Linked DNA regions of Rattus norvegicus. The main gene of each other region encodes a partner of the protein of the gene in region 2 in a complex. Links are inferred from orthologs where the notes say so. Each region holds a gene or a part of one and is shown on either strand. Other genes may lie near its edges.

Region 1 (3,748 bases), on a different chromosome or scaffold from region 2:
TCTTATTCAAAATTGTTTTTTAGTGGGGGAGAGGTTGTTGTTTGGTTTTCTTTGTTTTTGTTTTCGTTTTTTCCTGAGACAGGGTTTCTCTGTGTAGCCTTGACTGTCATGGAATTCACTCTGTAGATCAGGCTGGCTTGAACTCAGAGAGCCGGCTGCCTCTGCCTCTAGAGAGCTGGGATTAAAGGCATGCCCTACTACCGCCCCGTTTATTGTTTGGTTTTTAATTGCATTCTTTTCTTTTTTAACATTTATTTTAGATTTACTGATTTATTTATTTATTTATTTATTTATTTATTTATTTATTTATTTATTTGCCTATATGTATTTATATGCACCTTGTGAGTGCCTGGTCCCCGTGGAGATCAGAAGAAGGTGTCTGACCTCCAGGAGCTAGAGTTAAAGATGTTTGAGTCACCTTGTAGGCTCTGGGAATTGAACCCAGGTTCAATTTGTCGCAAGAGCGACAAATGCCCTTAAGTGCTGAGCCATCTCTCCATCTCCAAATTACACTAAACAGTGATGACGACGACGACGACAAACCAATCTTCCTGACTGGCCAGACATTCATAGAGATCTGACTGCCTCTATCTCCTGGGCGTTGCAATTATTGGTGCACACCACCATACTCTGCCTCAAGTAGTTTTTATTGTTTGTTTTAAAATTATTTATTGTTATTATTGTTGTTAAGACAGGGTCTCGATATATACCCCTGACCGGTCTAGACCTCTCTTCGTAAACCAGGCTGGCCTCAAACTCAGAGAGCTGCCTGCTGGCATTGCACTAGCACTTCATTGACCAGTCACTCTTGGCGTCTGAACCTCCATGTGAACTACGTGCATGGCTCGCAAGCTCATTTGCTATATTTCAACGGTATTTGGCCTGGGATTCCCTAAATTTAGTATCATCTCACAAATAGATTTAGGCTGAGTTGTTGGGGGTATGGGGTGTTGGAGGCCAAGGAGAAGCCATGGCCAGTACAGTAAACGACAGACTAGTGAGGACTTGCTCAGGTAGAGCTTGGAAGCCGCTAATCCCTGCCTATTGGCTGGTGAACTCCCAGGATCTAAGGTTTCATTAGCCGGGATCTACTTCCTAGTGCATTTTGGGATGATACAGGGTTGTTCCCACAGTCCCAGAAAGAGACCAGCGGAACTCCCAGAGGAGCGGCAAGTGGACGCTTGGAATTCCTTGCTTAGAACTCACGGTCTCCTTTGTTATTCGCCCTCTGGAAGATTCTAGACTTGACTACAGCTCCTAGCCAAAAAACTCACAAAAGACTACAAAAGACCATTCCGCCTCCTGGTCAGGTGACTTCGTTGCCTAGCAACAGGACGCCCTGCCGCAGTAGCCACAGACTTGACTGTCCTGGGCTAGTTTCCTGTGGGAGGCCAAATGTCTGAAGAAAACCCCCAAGAGTGCGCCGAGCCGGTGGAGCCCAAGGCTAAGCCTGCCCCAGAGAAAACGAGCGACTACTACCGCATTAGCGAGAAGCTCCCAGACAGGTTCAACAACCCGGGGTGGTTTCATGGCTACAGGTAAGGCCCTAGCTTTGGCCATGCGTGTGAGAACTCCCAAGTGCCTGGCTGCTGAGGTCAAAAGAAGTCAGACATGAACCCTGTGCCCGTGTCACCATTACTATTAGGGTCCTGCTGTCTGAGCACCACAAGAGTGAACGTGTGTGAATGTAGCCTTGTTGCAGGCAGGGGGTGTCTCCAGTTTTAAAGCTTCCCTGAAAGTTATACCCTGTACAGAGCAGCCTGTCTCTCTTGAAAATAAGGATGGAAGCCGTTGACTTCTGTGAAGCAGGTGCAGGCACGTCCCCTTTCTACACAGCTTGCTTGAGGCCTCCGGTGTGGAGAAGAGCTGCTGGTAGCCTCTCTGTCACAGACCACAGCCTCACACACTAGATTTCCTTCCTCCTCTCCACCTGACAGAAGCTCTGTAAGGTTGGAGCTCAAAAGCAGAGGGGTTCCTGAGTGATAGGGGTCTGGAAACCGAGATGTCCCTGAGGTAGCTAACAAACCTGGCAGTGGCAGTCTGTGCCAAGGTTCCACCAAGACCCCTCCTCCAGCATTTGCATATCCTGAAGGGGTTCCCTTTGGAAGGATCAGGGGCCACGGCCAGCAGAGGAGGCCAGAGAGGCAGGCCTGATGGGAGAGGGTATTGTCTACGGGGACATGGCCCTAAAAGTTCCATCAATCAAATTCTTCCAGGCTATGACTTGGCTGACTTATTTTGAGGCTGGATGGGAAACAGTGTATCTCTCTTCCACAGTACCAATGAAGCTGTTTCCATGTACAGGACCAGTAACCAAACCTATGGGAGCAGAGCTCCCACAGCGCATGAGATGCCGGTAAGTGCAAGCCACATATGCCAGGACGAAGTACCATCGGAAGAGCGGATCCCCACGTTGTAAATGCATGGTACTTCAAATCGCAATCGAGTTAGAACAAGGCAGGGCAGAGAAATGATAGAATACAATTTCGAAGCAAAATATATTGTAGAAAGAGAAGTCCAGGTAAACTTGCTTCCACAGTCTCCTCCTCATCAGACAGGCATGCACTTCTTCACATGGGCACATACACCTTTGCAGGGGCTCCCAAAGGCAAATTAGTGAAGCCCAGTGTTCGTATGAGTGGCAGAACTCCTCTGAAGAGCATGTCCACTAAAAGATTTTCTGGACTCAGTGTTCTAAGACCAGATGCAAGGTGTTTCTGAGGGAAGCAGGAACATGGGTTCTGCTGTCCATACAGTCTTTTTTTTTTTTTTTTTTTTTTCGGAGCTGGGGACCGAACCCAGGGCCTTGCACTTGCTAGGCAAGCGCCCTACCACTGAGCTAAATCCCCAACCCTGCCCATGCAGTCTTAAATCGCATTGGCCTTGTCTTGATGTGGGGGTGTACCATGGCACACAAGTATGGAGGTCAGAGGACCACTTGGAAGAGTTGGTTCTTGAGGTGGCTCTCCTCAGTAGTTAAGAGCACTGGCTGCTCTTCCAGAGGTACTGAGTTCAAATCCCAGCAACCACTTGGTGGCTTACAACCATCTGTAATGGGATCTGATGCCCCTTTCTGGTGTGTCTGAAGACAGCTACAGTGTACTTATTTATAATAAATAAAAAAATCTTAAGAAAAGGAAAGAAAATACACTGTACCTTAAAAAAATAAAGAAAAAGAAAAGAAAAGGAGTCGGTTCTCCTTTCACCAGGCTCAGCAATTAAGGACCTTTAGCTTTTTTCTTTGAGACATGGTCTCAAGATAGCCAGAGCTAGTTCTGAATCAGTTCAAAGCTTTGAACTCCTGAACCTCTGGCCTCCACCTCCCAAGTGCTGGTTTAGAGGTGTGCTCTCCCACATCCTGTTTCATGAAGTGCCAGGGCTTTGCAAATGTTAGACATCATGTTCTACCCAGTGAGCAACAGCCCCGGCTTCTGCTTCTGCCTTTGTAAAAGGCCACTGAGAAGAGGCCACTCTTTTTAACGCTAGGTGCTTTACAGCCAGGTTAGCAGGCCATGATGGGCCACAGGCTGCACGCAGGTATCTGAGGCAAGCTAGGAGGTAGGTATTCCCTGCTTCTTAGTCCTGTTCTTGGGGGTTGGCTTTTCAGCTTTCTGACTCAGTCTGACTGCACTCTGTGAGCAGCTCTTAGTATTAGTCTCTATGACACTACAATGGTGGATATTTATTATTATAGACCTGTCAGAATGCACTGATTGTCCCCCCAAGTGTTCAGTGCACAGCTCAGTAG
Region 2 (3,712 bases):
ATCAACATTCAGGGCCCCATCAAATCTGAGGGAAGCAGTGATGGAAGACACAATTTGACCTATCAACCTGTTTAAGTTAGTGTAGGTTGGGCGCTCAATGTCGAGGTTTCTACGACAGATGTCATAGATGGCCTCATTGTCTACCATGAAGGCACAATCAGAGTGCTCCAGGGTGGTGTGGGTGGTGAGGATGGAATTGTAGGGCTCAACCACAGCAGTGGAAACCTGGGGGGCTGGGTAAATGGAGAACTCCAGCTTGGACTTCTTTCCGTAGTCGACAGAGAGCCGCTCCATCAGCAGGGAGGTGAACCCAGAGCCAGTTCCCCCACCAAAGCTGTGGAAAACCAAGAAGCCCTGGAGACCCGTGCACTGGTCAGCCTGTGGGAGAAAAGGACATATAATGTCTTATTACCAGGGCATACACTATTTCAATTCCTTTAGACTGTGAGCCATCTCTACCTGATAGGAAAGACCTGACACATTTTGACAGATACCAAGACACCCTCCCACTGCATTTTAAACCCATCCACATAGGGCATTTACCAGCTTGCGAATTCTGTCCAAGACAAGGTCAATGATCTCCTTGCCAATGGTGTAGTGGCCACGGGCATAGTTATTGGCAGCATCTTCCTTGCCTGTGATGAGCTGCTCTGGGTGGAAGAGCTGGCGGTAGGTGCCAGTGCGAACTTCATCTGAAAAAGGAGAAGACATCAGCCATCACCACCAAGGACCCCACAAGCTCACTCACCCTTCCGGGTCTGGAGAGACATTCTGAGTATGTGACCAAGAAGGACTGCCCCAGGGAAGCCCCCAGTCCACTTACCAATAACTGTGGGTTCCAGGTCTACGAACACCGCCCGGGGCACGTGCTTGCCAGCTCCTGTCTCACTGAAGAAGGTGTTGAAGGAGTCATCTCCTCCCCCAATGGTCTTGTCGCTTGGCATCTGGCCATCAGGCTGGATGCCATGTTCCAGGCAGTAGAGCTCCCAGCAGGCATTGCCGATCTGGACACCAGCCTGGCCGACGTGGATGGAGATACACTCACGCTGTGGAAAGGGGGAAAAAATATCATAAAATTAAGTTGTTGTAATATTAAGCTGTACTTCTATTTTAGATTTTAATAGATTTCTAAAGTGTTTCTAAAAATACAAACATTGTTTAAATTTATTTAGTGTCATATCCCTAATATGACAGACACAATGAGGAAGGAGTACCCACTACCAATACTGAAAGTGGGTGTGGCCTCAATGTCACCTTAGTACTGCTTAAGACATGGTGCCAACCCATTGTTCCCATAGCAGTGTTTGAATAGAAGTCTTCATATTTGAAAAATATTCAAAACATAGATTCTGTAAAATGAAATAATTACCCGAAATTACATTAATTGCTTCTTTTCTTGTTAAGTAAGGATGAAGGTTTCATCCTACAGGACCTGGTATTTCAACGTGGACATCTGCAGTGCGGCTGAGGCCAGCAGCCACACCCTTCTGTGGACCCCATTAGTACTCTGGCTAAGCTGCAAGCTAGACCGAGTCTCACAAAGTTTAAGGTTTCATCCTATAGGACCTGGTATTTCAATGTGGACATCTGCAGTGCGGCTGAGGCCAGCAGCCACACCCTTCTGTGGGCCCGGTCAGTACTAGGCTAGGTTACCTGCTATTGAGTCTGACTTCTGCATTGCCGCGTTCTCTGTGCCTGGCTCTAGCCTGTGGTCTGTTACATTATTTAACAGAGAAAGCTCTATTTCCAGAAGCTGTCTACGTGATCTCTTTGTGCAGCTTTCTGCGTGCCTCCCAACCCTGCCTGGGGCCATCTGCCTGAATTAATGAATGAGTGTCATATATTAGAACAAAAGGCAGTCGGGTGCAGAGTATCATTTTTTTTTTCTTTGCAGCAGAATCATTATGGTTTTTGAAGGTTTTCTATTGGATGGGACGGAAACATTCTTAAAGCAGGCTAAGTTAGAAACACAGTGCACACAATTAGTGCCAACAATTAAAAAAAAAACAAGTGAAAAGATAACTAATATTTAAAAGTAGAAAATAGTATTTTTATCCGATGAATCTCTACATACAACATAATAAACCACTATTCTATAGAGAGAGACACTTCTGCCTTGGAGGGACAACTTTCATTGTCTGCGGGGGTTGGGGGCGGGGAAGGGCGTTTCCCTGGGTTCTGACCGTCAGCTACTCGGGCTTCACAAAGTGGGCTTTGTCATTCCCAACCATCCAGCTCCCCTCCCCCCACCCAGCGAGATGGCCCCGTGGAGCATCTCGTAAGACTACAATTCCCCAACGATTCTTTTTAAAAATAAAAATTAATAATAATAATAATAAAAAACCCAGCTCGGGAGTGAGGCTTAGTGAGAGCGAACCCCTCCCAAAACGCCACGGAAGCAAGAGACAAACAACCCCGCCCCTGCGCCTCCCTGACAGCGGCTGCCATGGATCCCAGGCAAACTATTTTCCCAGCGAGTTAGGGCGGCGTTTCTGGAGTGCGGGCTCGGCCGCCGCCCTGCCCTCCTGCTGCAGCAGACCCTGCGGCACCCTCCCTCTCCCCCGCCGGTCCCCTGTGGTCCCGGGCTCTGCCAGCAATCGCTCGCCGGCGCAGCCTTTGTTCTTCCCGGTCTGGGCGTTTCCGTGTCCCGCACTGCGGCGGCGGGACTCACGGACTAAGCTAAACTTAAAGCATCCAGACCACCCTTCCCCGCAGAGATGACAAAAGGCTTAGGCGTCTCCTTGCAGACTGAGCCGGCTGACACCCACCCGCTCCTGAGAGCCCGGGAAGGTTTGCTCACCATGGTTGCTGCTTCGCGGCTGCCGGGTGGATGGCGGAGGCGAGGAGGAGGTGTTGCTTCTTACAGCGCGACTCTTAAGCGGTCGATGTAAGAGAACCTGCGGCACTTGGGCGGATGCGCCTCCTTATATACAGCTCGGTCACCATGGGGATGGGCCAAGGCCTTTTCCTGTTGGTCCAGACCCCTCCGTCTGCCCAGAGAAGCCGCGACAGGAGAGTGGTGATTGGTGCAAGCGACATGGTATGAGGTAATCTCTCCCCCCTTCCCCCCCTCGCTAGCATCCGTAGATTTTGCATCCTTCAGACAAAGGCCTCGCAAAAGCAACTAGCCGAGCATCCATTATGGGGTGGAGCTGGGGAGGGGTAGAGAGGGAAGAAAGAAAACGGGGGTTGGGTGATTATACGGAGCTTAAACCTTAAACTGTAGTTAGGATAATTTAAGGTTTTCCCCAACACTTAATCACAGAATTTGTGTTGAGATTCTTTATGGTAAATTCCAGCTTTTCATTTATACTACACTAAATTTAAATACGTTCCGTCAGGATTCAACATCTCTGTTCGCTTTAAATAAAGTAGCAAGAGCTATGGGAATGATGGTCAAAAAGGCGTGGGTAAATGTTTAGTTTTACAGTTGTATTATTGTGGTTATTATTATTATTACTATTATTATTAATATTTGAGCAAAATTCAGAAGCTCAGTATGAATAGACCACGCCTATGACCCTCAACAGCACCTGGGAGGCAGAGGCAGGAAGACTTGCAGCTCAAGGTCATCATAACCGCCCTTAGTGGTTTATGCCTGTAAATCCCAGCATTGGGAAGCGGAGGACTGCGGTTATTTTGTACCCGGCCTGGATATATAGTGTGATATCCTGTCTCAAAAACCAAAAACAAACAAAGAGAGAGAGAGAGA

What was found.
Region 1: the proteins of Tuba1a (region 2) and Pierce1 are in contact, whole or in part, in a cryo-EM structure (PDB 7UNG), measured with the Homo sapiens proteins. The link is inferred for Rattus norvegicus from reciprocal best matches to the Homo sapiens genes TUBA1A and PIERCE1. Residues at the interface, in NP_001257328.1 of Homo sapiens: Met1, Arg2, Gln15, Asn18, Ala19, Glu22, Cys25, Leu26, Glu27, His28, Gly29, Ile30, Gln31, Pro32, Asp33, Met36, Pro37, Asp39, Lys40, Asp46, Asp47, Ser48, Asn50, Glu77, Gly81, Thr82, Tyr83, Tyr224, Thr225, Asn228; in NP_001041730.1 of Homo sapiens: Tyr28, Pro35, Gly36, Arg37, Phe38, Trp43, Phe44, Arg45, Gly46, Tyr47, Arg48, Thr58, Ser59, Asn60, Gln61, Ala62, Tyr63, Gly64, Arg66, His71, Glu72, Pro74, Phe77, Tyr78, Pro79, Asn80, Ser81, Asn82, Lys83.

The regions. Positions count from the first base shown.
Region 1 is NC_086021.1:32,197,141-32,200,888, reverse strand, and holds the start of Pierce1 (piercer of microtubule wall 1 protein), read left to right. Parts: upstream 1-1,327; 5' UTR 1,328-1,395; coding exon 1,396-1,538; intron 1,539-2,277; coding exon 2,278-2,356; intron 2,357-3,748. UniProt on the Homo sapiens protein: Microtubule inner protein involved in the attachment of outer dynein arms (ODAs) to dynein-decorated doublet microtubules (DMTs) in cilia axoneme, which is required for motile cilia beating.
Region 2 is NC_086025.1:131,992,951-131,996,662, forward strand, and holds the start of Tuba1a (tubulin alpha-1A chain), read right to left. Parts: upstream 2,870-3,712; 5' UTR 2,804-2,869; coding exon 2,801-2,803; intron 1,047-2,800; coding exon 824-1,046; intron 693-823; coding exon 544-692; intron 379-543; coding exon 1-378. UniProt on the Homo sapiens protein: Tubulin is the major constituent of microtubules, a cylinder consisting of laterally associated linear protofilaments composed of alpha- and beta-tubulin heterodimers.